Linked DNA regions of Drosophila melanogaster. The protein of the gene in region 1 interacts with the protein of each later gene in a pairwise test. Each region holds a gene or a part of one and is shown in the gene's direction. Other genes may lie near its edges.

Region 1 (6,422 bases):
CTGCTCCTCGCCTGGCACACGGCACGTGGAGAAGAAGTGCTTGTACAGCGCGGAGGAGTACTTTATTTTACCGCCGTTCGAGGAGAGCGGTTTGATGCTGGACTTTCTAGTCAGATCCCAAAACTCCAGCGAGTGGTGAATGTGGCGCGCCAGACTCTTCGAAAATTATACAGTCAATTAGGCAATCTTAAACTTTGTGTTCTTATAGAGCTTGGGGTGTGGGTCCACTCACCTTCAGCATGTACTCCGGTGTCTCCGGCACGCCCACCATTTCCAATTGCGAGGGCATGACCATGAGCTGGTAGGGCAGCAGCGGCATCCGAATCAGGTGATATCCGTAGTCCTCCCACCAGGTGCCCAGCCAGTTCCTCATGCCGGCCGCCCGCTTCTTGAGCTGTTCGTGCAGCTGGGCTCCCACTCCGTTTTGGAACTCATCAATAGTCTTGCGGGCCTGGGCCAACTCCTCCTTGGTCCCGAATGGCTGGATGCAGCTGTAGTAGCGCTCCATGGTGTCCCTAAGCTCCGGCAGCGGGAGCGAAGGTAAGGTCTCGTCGAAGTCGAAGGTGTTCTTATCATCCTTGCTCATAAAATATAGACTAGCCCGGTCCATGGTGGTTTAGCTGCGGGGGACACGTTGGAATCGTTGATATCAGTCTGCGCGTGTGGTGGTTTTCTATAGGCCTAAGTCAGATTAGTACAATAATCATATCGGGAATCGCTTTTACGTTCGTCAGGTCCAAAGTTCACCCAATACATTACTGAGTACATTCACATCGGAAATAAATTGATCTCATCTTATAGGTTAAACATTAAAATGGTGTGCAAATTAATACCACACAACTAAGAACACTTAATGTGCAACTAAGCGGATTATGCGTCAAGTTGAACGTAATCTTTCTTGGACTGCAGCTAGACGACTATCTTCACTAATCTCCTCAAGCTGGACAAAGTCCGGATTGGGGAGCTTTATAAATATTTATACTCCCGGCGCACTGGTGAAATCATAGGCGAATTTCTAGCCCACTGACCTTTGTACTCGATGGGGAATTCACTTTTGCCGGAGACAACTGAAGCGCCAGACTGCCGTTATACGACTGAATCCATAGGTTGGTTCCATATCACAGCAAACCTTGCCGGAGGGGGAGCACTTGAATTATCGCACCGTGGGATCCGCCACCCGCGTCCACTGACTCAGTGCGATAATATATCACCCTAATCATTGCTATTGCAGACAGTCGGCCACCGATAATGGCCGGTTTCATTTGAATTTCTATATGAATTTCTTTTTTAATAACATATTCCAGCAGACACACCCACACAAACCTTCGATGAGGCGGCAGTTGAATGTCGCGCCCGAACTTCAGTTTGCGATGCACTCGATCGAAATTAAAACGGTTCCGCAGCTATCAAGTTCATTAGGCTAGATAAGCAAACAATTTTATAGGTTAAACAATTATTTTTATTATTATACTGCTGCGTTTTTGTTTACAAGCGGCGAAGACCCTATAGGAAATTGGCACAGCAAACAGCTGTTTGCAGGAGTTGCCAGACTTTTTACACCATTTGTTTATACCGTTAGTCACCACATTCTTATTACGTACATCTTATTCTTATTAACATCGCATAGCATTGTACATCGTACCGCAAGATATAATCCTCCCGGATTGATGCAATCAACTGCCATAAACGTACATTGTAACCGTTAACAAAATGCGAATATTGTTTACAATTATTAATTAAATAGGTCATTCAATGTTTTGTAAATATTTAAAACTTATTTAAATTTATTTAATTTAATTCCTTAGCATCCATTCATAGCATCCATGCTGACGCCTATCTGGCAACGCCGCCAGCAGCTGAAACAGCTGACATCTGTCGAAATGAGTGAAAGAGACAGGCAGAAAGAATAGAAAGAAATTTGGGACGCTTGTTTTCTCAAGCGGCTTTATTAAATTTCTAATCCCAGCAAGAGGTGGAAATGCTGCCATCCACGGGTCTCTTTAAGGGCTTCTTGTGCCCTTACTTTGACGGCCAGGATGCGGCGTCCTGCAAGCGCCCCTTTTGCCACTTTAAGCATGCTCGCAAAGGTGAGTGAATTACGTCCAGTTAATTTCGCAACAAATTCTATCCACTCTCGGTTTACAGACGAATTGGAGGCCGCTCCACCTGCAGAACCTTCCCCCGTGCCCAAGTACAAGCCGGCACCCAAGTTGCTCTCCCTTCCACTGCCCCAGATCACGCTATGTGCGCCCCGGAAGAAGTCCAATCTGGAGTACCACCCGGAGAAGCCGGCTCTTGACGCATCGCCGGCTAAGAAGAAGCAGGAGGCGTCCGTGGACAGTGCTCCCAAATATGTGCCCGGCCAGCCATCTGTTACAAATGGCGAAGAATATGACGATTGGCAGGCGGTACTCGAAAAGGAAATTGATGAGCAGATGCAGGTGGAGATTGAGGAGCAAGTCCAGAATAACGACGAAGAACAGAAGATAGATACGGTAGCTGAAAACGAGGAGGACCAGGAGAATACGCAACTGACGGATGCTAGGGATAGCCACGAAAAGGATCGAAAGCCCAGCAAGGAGCGGGAAAGGGATATAGAAAAGAAGAAGATCAGAGAGCTGAAAAGGGAAAAGATCAAAGACAGGGATCGGGACCGGGACCGGGACCGGGAAAAAGACAAAGAGAAGAGCAAGGAAAGGGACAGAGAGAAGGAAAAAAATGATAGGGATAAGCGAAAGTCCTCCCACAGCGACAAGGAGCGCTCCAAGGAGCGAAATACTTCAAGCTCAAGTTCCTCTAAGCACAAGTCTTCATCTAGCTCCTCTTCCAGCAAAAAGTCATCCAGCAGCGATAAGCACCGCGACGACAAAAGTTCCAGTAGCAGGCACAAGAGCAGTTCTTCATCATCCTCCTCGAAGAGCCATCATCACAAATCTAGTTCCTCGAGTTCACGGTCCAAAACTAAGAGGAGCTCGTCTTCCAGCAAAAGCGCTGGCACTTCAAAGAGCGAACCGGAGGCGGATAAGGATACTGAAGCAGCTGTACTGACACCAGCAGAACCTATGGATGATCTGGATGACATGGACTTTGATTTTGAAGCAGACACCTCGGAAGGAGAAATTGTACGCCAGTGTGAAATGATTTTTGACGAGATGGAAAAAAAATTTGCGCAGATGCACAAGGACGAAGGCGGCAATGCCAACCCGGAGAGTTCTCGCAAGCGCAAAGCTCCTTCTCCGGACATTGATACCTTCACCGAGGCAGCCACGGCGGCTCTGCAGAAGCGCCGGGTGGCCCACGAGAATGCTGACAAGATCACGCCTCATTTGGCTCCTTCGGCGGCGATGCGCAAACCCAATCACGTCCGTAATGCCATGCAGGCGATCTTCAACCGCCGCGCGGAGCTGCGGCGCCAGGAGAAGCTACAAGCCGAAGCCTCAGCGGAGCAGGTACGTCAGGCACAGGAGCGGGTGCGCCAAGCGCAGGAGGAGCTCCGTCAGGCCAAGGTCAACTCCAACCTCACGCCACTTATTTCGCGAAGTGCTCTGACCCCACCAGTGCGATCAGGTGAGCATACCACTTTGGAATATATAATAATTCAAATTCAAATATTTTTGGTTACCAGCTCGCAGCATAGCACCTGTGGCCAACATTGTGGCCATCGCTCGGGCCAAAAAAAAGATCGAGGAGCTGCAGGCCGAGAAGAAGCCAGCCTTTACGCCTGCACAATCATTCAAGGGCGCCGGCCGTGTGGCTCACAAGCCCACTGCTGCGCTAGACAAAGCGGCTCCTGTGTCCAACGCGGAGAAGCCAACCGTCCTAGATCCCAGCAGCTCCAAGATATCATACAACGTGCGCATTCAGTATTATGAGATGATGGTAAGGCACTGCACCGTCATCTATCCGCAGCTGGCAGATGCCTGGGAGCGCGCCCAGGTGGAGGAGTTGACCGTCTTTAAGAAGTGCAACACGCCTGCCATCTACAAGAACAGCTGCATGCTGGCGATTAACAAGCTCCGCAAGGAGGCCTTAGAGGCGGGAAACAAGCCGAGCGTAGCCTGCAAGACTGTGTCGCACGAGATGATGCTGGGCGGCAAGCGGGCGCTCACCACATCCTGGAGCGTAGAGAAAAAGGGGTGGGTTTGTATACTAAACTATAGTTATTCTCTATGTGCACATTATAAGATGAAATTCGCTTAATTGTAAATACTGCCACTGGCCACAAGCATAAACGTAAACATAAGCATAATTTCTCTTTATGACTTCACATTTCTTCCTGGAAGTCATGAATGTTAACTTTTATGACATTTGTACGTATTTCTAACATTTCAATTGCATATAAAAAGTTTTTGATATCTTTACCCTAACAAACATTAAATATATATCTATTGCAGAAAACTGAGCTCCTTGGGCAATGGCGAACCTTTCGATGCTTTAGACGCCGAGAAAGCTTACAAAATGGTATTCGATCTTCGCCTGACTGAAGAGCAGCTGGTGGAGAACGGATATCCGCGTCCGGGCGATAAGCGCGGATCCGCAGTGATACGCGCCTGCCGCCCCAACCGTCGTCCCAACCAGAAAGAGCGCTACTGTTCCCGCTGCGGCAAGGTATTCAGCTTGGACATATACGAGCACCAGAGCTTTGACATGTGCAACTACCATCCGAAAAGCACGGGATATCGACGAGGATTCACGGACCACCAGCATCGCTGCTGCCAGCAGCCGGCGGGCACTCCAGGCTGCACCTATGCCAACTACCACGTCAGCGACTATTACGATCCGGAAAAGCTCACCTGTTTCGTGAAGACGATCGAACGGGGTGAGGAATTTGTGCCCACTAAGAAGGACATATATGCACTGGATTGCGAGATGTGTTATACCACACACGGAATAGAGCTAACCCGCGTTACGGTGGTGGACATAAATGGACGCAGCGTTTACGATGCTCTTGTCAAGCCGGACAACCAGATTGTGGACTACAATACGACGTGGGTGAATGTAGCTTTTCGGTTGTTTCGTATTAATCTGCAATACTCTGACTTCAGCTACTCGGGCATCACGGAGGCGATGCTCTCCAATGAGACGCGTACCATACGCGACGTTCAGGCGGTGCTGATGTCCATGTTCCATGCCAAAACCGTGCTCGTTGGCCACAGTCTGGAGAGCGATTTGAAGGCACTCAAACTCATTCACGACGTTGTGGTGGACACATCGGTGCTGTTTCCCCACAAGATGGGACCGCCAAAGAAGCGAGCTCTGAAAACACTGTGCATTGAAAACCTAAAGCGGATTATACAGGAGAGCGGTGAGTGTGTCTAGTCTTTTACTTTATCACTTGACGTAAGAAGTTTATTATAATTATTATATTTCCTTCTTCCACAGAGGCTGGCCACGACAGTGCCGAGGATGCTGAGGTGTGCATTCAGCTCATCAAGTATTATCTGCGCAACAAAATCAGTTGAGCTGCTATCACGCACCATCGCAAGCATTCAGTTCAAAAGCATTACGTACATCTGTTAATATGTATATCATGCCCATCAAAAATCAAAGCCTTAGCCTTTAAGCTAACCATATTATGTAAAATCAAACTGTATAAATATATCACCAAGCGATGACAGCGAAAAATAAGTAAAGCTTGCTTTAAATGCCAATTTAAAGTGATTGAAGTGTGGCACATGGAACTTAAAGAACGCTGTACAGTACGCTACGGATTTGGCGAGTCCTTTGAAGAATTTCTTACCTCGAGCCTTCAACCAGGTATATTTGTTCATTTTTCTCTATTTTTGCCTTGCCCATTTTTCCTTGCGTTTTTTCCATTCTCTTCACTATCGATAACAATTCAATGAAAAGCAATTGGAAAGTTTTGTAAAGTTTTTTACCTGCCACCGCGTTACAAACTGTAATTGCAAGTTTCGTGCCTGACGCACATCACAGAATATTCGCCGCTGCCCTCGTCCCGCCCCCAGGTTGGCCGCCTTGTTTTTGTTGTTATTATTTAAATGTAATTTTAATCAGATTGCGGCGATACTTTATATTTTTCAATTATACTCGGCCTCGTCTGCTGGCCGTGGGCACCATCTGGATATTGGCTTCTGGTTGCTCCTCACTGGCGCATGATTTTTCAATTTTAACGTTTTATAATTTTCCGTTCTGTGCGTTCCGGTAAAAGTTTGGCTTATTGAGAATGCAGCCAAAGTTTCAGCACTTAATTCGGCATAATTGTTGCCCCCGGCCAGCTCCAGCTCCACCGAATGACAGGAGGAGCCATAGGCATTAAGTGGGATCCCAAACCCCAATCCTTGCGGGAAATGGCTGATGGCGACACGTGTTTATCTATTGAGCTGGCACAACACAACCTAACGAAAAGTAAATAATATTAGTGCTACTTGGCAATGACAATGTGCATATGTGGCCCAGTATGA
Region 2 (4,656 bases), on another chromosome or scaffold:
TCATCATCTCGTTCGAGCTATGCACGCAATTAGCAAAAGTACTTAGCAATACGACAGGGCTCCTGAAAAAGAGGGATATTCCTCAGCCAGCAGCACTGCAGAGTATATTTATAATTGCTCAGTGCGTTTTAGGTGAGTAGACGAACCACAAGCCACGACGGCGATGGCAGAATCACTAAATTACTTTTCTCGCCAGGCAACAGACGTAATCGATGCAAGAATTTGGCGAAAATATTCAGCATGCTCACGATGAGAAGTTGGGCAGGTAAGTTCAAATAGCTTTCTAAAACAATAGTTAAAGTGTAATTCTGTGCAGGCATCTGGTGGCTAGTATAGCCATCGAACCGGGAGATACCATATTGGAGGAGCGACCCTTGCTGGTAGCTCCACACTGGGAATGCCATCAGCTGAAGTGCGCGCAATGCCTTCAGGAATCCTATGTGATATGCCGAAGGTGTCAGGTATTTCCCCTGTGCATGGACTGCAACCAGCATGATGAATTCGAGTGTGAGTTTTTCACCAGCGGAGCAGGAAAAGCCCTCTGCAAGGATATTCTTGTGAAGAACTTTGGCATATGTGGACTCCTAAAGCTCCTTCTTCTGCTAGAGAATCCTCGTACAAAAGGCGATTGCCAAATGCTCATCGATGTTCCTATAAATCTGAGTGATTACCGCGACGGAGAAGGAATGTGGCAAGAGCACGAGGAGCTAGTGGTGCGTCCACTAATGGAGAGTGGCCTAGCGGATGTTCTACCCACTCAGGAGCTAACTTCGGATGCACTTCACGCCCATTGCATACGTATCGACAGTAATTCCTTCGAGGTGACCGCAAAGGATGGTGATACCTTGAAGGGAATTTTTGTTTGGGGTGCTACTTTACCGCACCACTGCGTTCCAAACACGGTGGTGGCCTTGGATGAACAGTTCAACATGAAGCTATATGCGGCGGTTCCCCTGCAGCCTGGCGACATCATCTACAACTCGTACACCAATCCTCTGATGGGCACCAGTCAGAGACAACACCAACTGCGTCTAAGTAGAAGACTGGAGTGTATCTGCTCGCGCTGTCTGGATCCGACCGAGATGGGCACCCACATGAGCAGCCTGAAGTGCAAGGAGTGCCCCGGATTTTCAGTTTGCGAGATTGATTCAAATGGAAAACTTGGAGACTGGCGCTGCCCGGATTGTAGAGCCCTGTTAACCGCTGCCGAGGTCCACGAACTACAGGCTGCAGTGGGATCGGCCTTAGTAGACGCCATGGGTGACCTGCAGGTATACGAAGCTCTACTGACCCAGTACGGGCCACTGCTCCATCCCAATCATTTCATGCTGCTGGACATCAAGCAGAACATTGCCAGTATTCTGCGAGCGGCTGCTTTAATGAACTCCATGGACCAGCCGTGCAAGAAACTTCTCGCCCGCCGGGTGGAACTCTGCTCCGACTTACTGCCCGTCTGTCGGGCTGTGGTTCCAGGCATCTCCAAGCTGTATGCCATTGGTCTGTTTGAGTACTTGCTGGCCTTGGTGGAGCTGGTGGAATTGCAATTTGCCGAAAGTGATCTGAGCAAAAAAGAATATGTGGTGAGTAAAGTGAATACCCTTTTAAAATTGCAATTATTAAATAAATGCAATTCACAGGCTCATTTAAGGACCGCGAGTCTGGTGGCCACGGAAGCAATGGACCTACTTCGCTTTGAGCCAGAAAACTCGGCAGAAGGCTATCTTGCAGACCGGATTTCAATGGAGCTGGAGCGGATTGAGTCCGATTTGAAGAAATACGGCAGATAATATCCCCATTTTGGGTACATATCTTATATCCACTTTGTGGCCCTGCTCCGGCAATTTTTAGTCTAAAACAAATTTGATTAGTCGAAGGGAAGCGAACACAATGCGCTCCCTTCAGTTGTTGCCACTTTTACATTGTGTACCGGCGACATGGTTCAACGTATGGCTGGGTGGGGGGAATCATTGACCAAGAAATAAATAAAGAATTGTCGTTCAATTAAAAATAAGTTGCCAGCATGGCGCTGGTTGTGTTGTCAGTATGCCAAAGGTAGCCAAAGGGAACGGGAAACAGAGAATGGCCGCAGTAACCGACGATTTTGCAAGGAAGTGCGAGATAAAGCAGAATGACACGCTGGGCAGGTGGGTGCATCTATAACCCATTTAAAATATTTAACCCCTGTGGGTTTCCCTGAAGATTTGCGGTTGCCCTCTGTAATGTTCGGGCTGGCGAGACCCTGCTGCTGGAGAATCCTATCGTGGTTTTGCCCCTAATGGGCGAAAGACGCTGCTCCAAGTGCTTTAATCTAACCGAGAGTTTTTGTCGGTAGGTGGACTCCATACAAATGTGTTATCCATTTACGAATCTTATGTAAACCCTTAGAAAGTGCCGTCTGTTAGCTTTGTGTGAGGATTGCTCGGATCATGACGAACGAGATTGCAAAAGGCTTGCTGAAATGAATTTTTCGGACGACCAGGTGGAGCTGCTTCAGAAAAAGGAGCACACCGAAATCCAGCCAGTTTTGAAATGCCTGCTGTTAAGAGAGCACGAGGAAACCCTGCCCTTGTACGAGGAAATGTCCCAAATGGATTCCCAACTTATGACTAGAAGAGGGACTGAAGTCTGGAAAAACTACCAGGAGCACGCATTTACTCCTCTGGATTATGGTGGAGTGCTAGCACAACTACGGGGTGCGGCGGATGAGGACCTAGTACAGGGTCTCCTAGGCATCCTGGACATAAATGCCTACGAGATAAGGGCCCCGGAGGTGGGTGGCGCCATGAGAGGACTGTATCGCCGGGCAGGACTCTTCGCCCACAGCTGCACGCCCAACCTGGTCATCTCAATCGATGACGAGCAACGTATAAAGGTCTACGCAAATCGGTTTATAGCCGCCGGAGAGATCCTTTACAATTGCTACACCAATGTGCTCCTGGGCACCGAGGAGCGTCGCAAAATCCTCAAGGTGGGCAAGTGCTTCGACTGCTCCTGTCCGCGATGCCAGGATCCCACCGAGCTGGGAACACACATGAGCAGTTTCATTTGCAGTCAATGCTCGTGCGTAGATGGCTACATAGTGCGTCAGCCGGATACCGGAATATGGCAGTGCCTTCTTAATCCGGAGCACACACTGAAACAGGAGTTTGTCTCGAATATGCTGGAACGTGCTAAGGAGGAAATATTTCACGCAAGGGATGATATATACCGGCAGGAGCTACTCTTGGCCAAGCTAAGTCGCCTACTTCATCGGAATCATTTCCTAATGCTCGATCTAAAGCAAAATATCGCCTCTATATTGCGACAGATTCTTCAGAATATGGGAACCCGACCAAATAAGAAAGTATACGAGCGGAAGATTCGTTTGTGCCAGGAGATATTGTTGGTACTTAAGGTCGTAACTCCTGGAATCTCCAGATTGAAGGCTATCGCCCTCTATGAACTGGCTAACACACAGGCCGAATTGGCCAGAAAAATGTATACTGAAATGGAGCACAGTGCCAATGACCTCCTGGTGGGAAAGTCCTGGATTTATTCCTTAATGTCAAATTAATGAAATTTTTTCTAGGCGGAATTGGAACGAGTTGAGGTCATGCTGCGGGAGTCTCTGCGAATGCTTCTATTTGAGCCACTGGCCACTCCAGAGGGCCAGCTGACGCGATCAATGCTTCGAGAGCTGAAGGAGCTGCAGGATGATATAAAAAATCTTCGGGAATCCGATGACGATGTGGTAAATCAATAAGATCTGCGAGTTTGCAGATTAAAACTGGTATTTGAATTCAATAAGCATTGTTTCCCATGTTTAACTAATGACTTATTCATGTGTATAGCATTCATCTTGTTGATTAAAAATTTGAAAAAAAAAGAGGATACAATATTAACTGAGCTAAATTTCAAATCAAATCAAACCGAAATTGTTAGGAATGTTCACGAACAATAGGAAATAATACTAGTTTGCATTACTTTTTAATGAAACTTTAAATCAATTTAAATTCGATAACTGATATAGAGCTTTAATCGAAGAGCCGCACGTTTGCTGTTATCGTTTAATTTACCGCTTTTGCAACACTACTGAGTTTATTTATTGTTATTTATCTTTTTTTTGCATTAAACAATAAAAGCTCAGCTAGACAAAAGAGTTAACCGTGGAATTTTCGACATTTCCGAATAAATAACACAAAGAGGCAGTGAAATTATGGGAACAGCTGATAACTGATAATACAGATGGGGTATGCACCGCGAATAAGGGATAAAACAACCCCCAAGTGGGAAAAAAACGAGGGTTTGCTGCTCAGTTGCGATTTGCATGTGCCGTGGAGATAAGGTGCTCCTCTGCACCGCTTGATTCTGCGACTGCAAAAAATTTCCAACCGTGGAGCAACAACAAATGCTGCAATATATACATCACTAGCCGCGTCCCCGCAACGTTGCCGCCACCCCCGCAAAGGCCGTAATGTGTTGGACGTTGTGAAATAGTAATACTCACCATTCTACATCGACATTCGTCATCCGGAAGCGCGGAGCCGTGAAAATCCCCCTTTAGGATGGCCCTCGCCAGTGCCGCCGCCGCCCTCTTGAAGGGTTCGCAGACGCCTCTGCAGCAGCTCCTGGAGGACATTAACTTCCAGCGCACCAAGGAGATGCGTCAGCTGCTCA

What was found.
Region 2: the proteins of CG12877 (region 1) and SmydA-6 interact in a two-hybrid assay, tested with the Drosophila melanogaster proteins (one large-scale study listed by BioGRID).

The regions. Positions count from the first base shown.
Region 1 is NT_033777.3:27,705,232-27,711,653, forward strand, and holds CG12877 (uncharacterized protein), read left to right. Parts: upstream 1-1,868; 5' UTR 1,869-1,978; coding exon 1,979-2,087; intron 2,088-2,145; coding exon 2,146-3,567; intron 3,568-3,625; coding exon 3,626-4,136; intron 4,137-4,394; coding exon 4,395-4,988; intron 4,989-5,045; coding exon 5,046-5,305; intron 5,306-5,382; coding exon 5,383-5,462; 3' UTR 5,463-5,626; downstream 5,627-6,422. Other genes in the region: CROT (carnitine O-octanoyltransferase), read right to left, coding at 1-156, 233-610.
Region 2 is NT_033778.4:17,044,766-17,049,421, forward strand, and holds SmydA-6 (SET and MYND domain containing, arthropod-specific, member 6), read left to right. Parts: upstream 1-2,073; 5' UTR 2,074-2,079; coding exon 2,080-2,144; intron 2,145-2,199; coding exon 2,200-2,328; intron 2,329-2,385; coding exon 2,386-3,514; intron 3,515-3,568; coding exon 3,569-3,742; 3' UTR 3,743-4,029; downstream 4,030-4,656. Other genes in the region: SmydA-7 (SET and MYND domain containing, arthropod-specific, member 7), read left to right, coding at 213-265, 317-1,580, 1,638-1,787; CG9646 (uncharacterized protein), read left to right, coding at 4,545-4,656.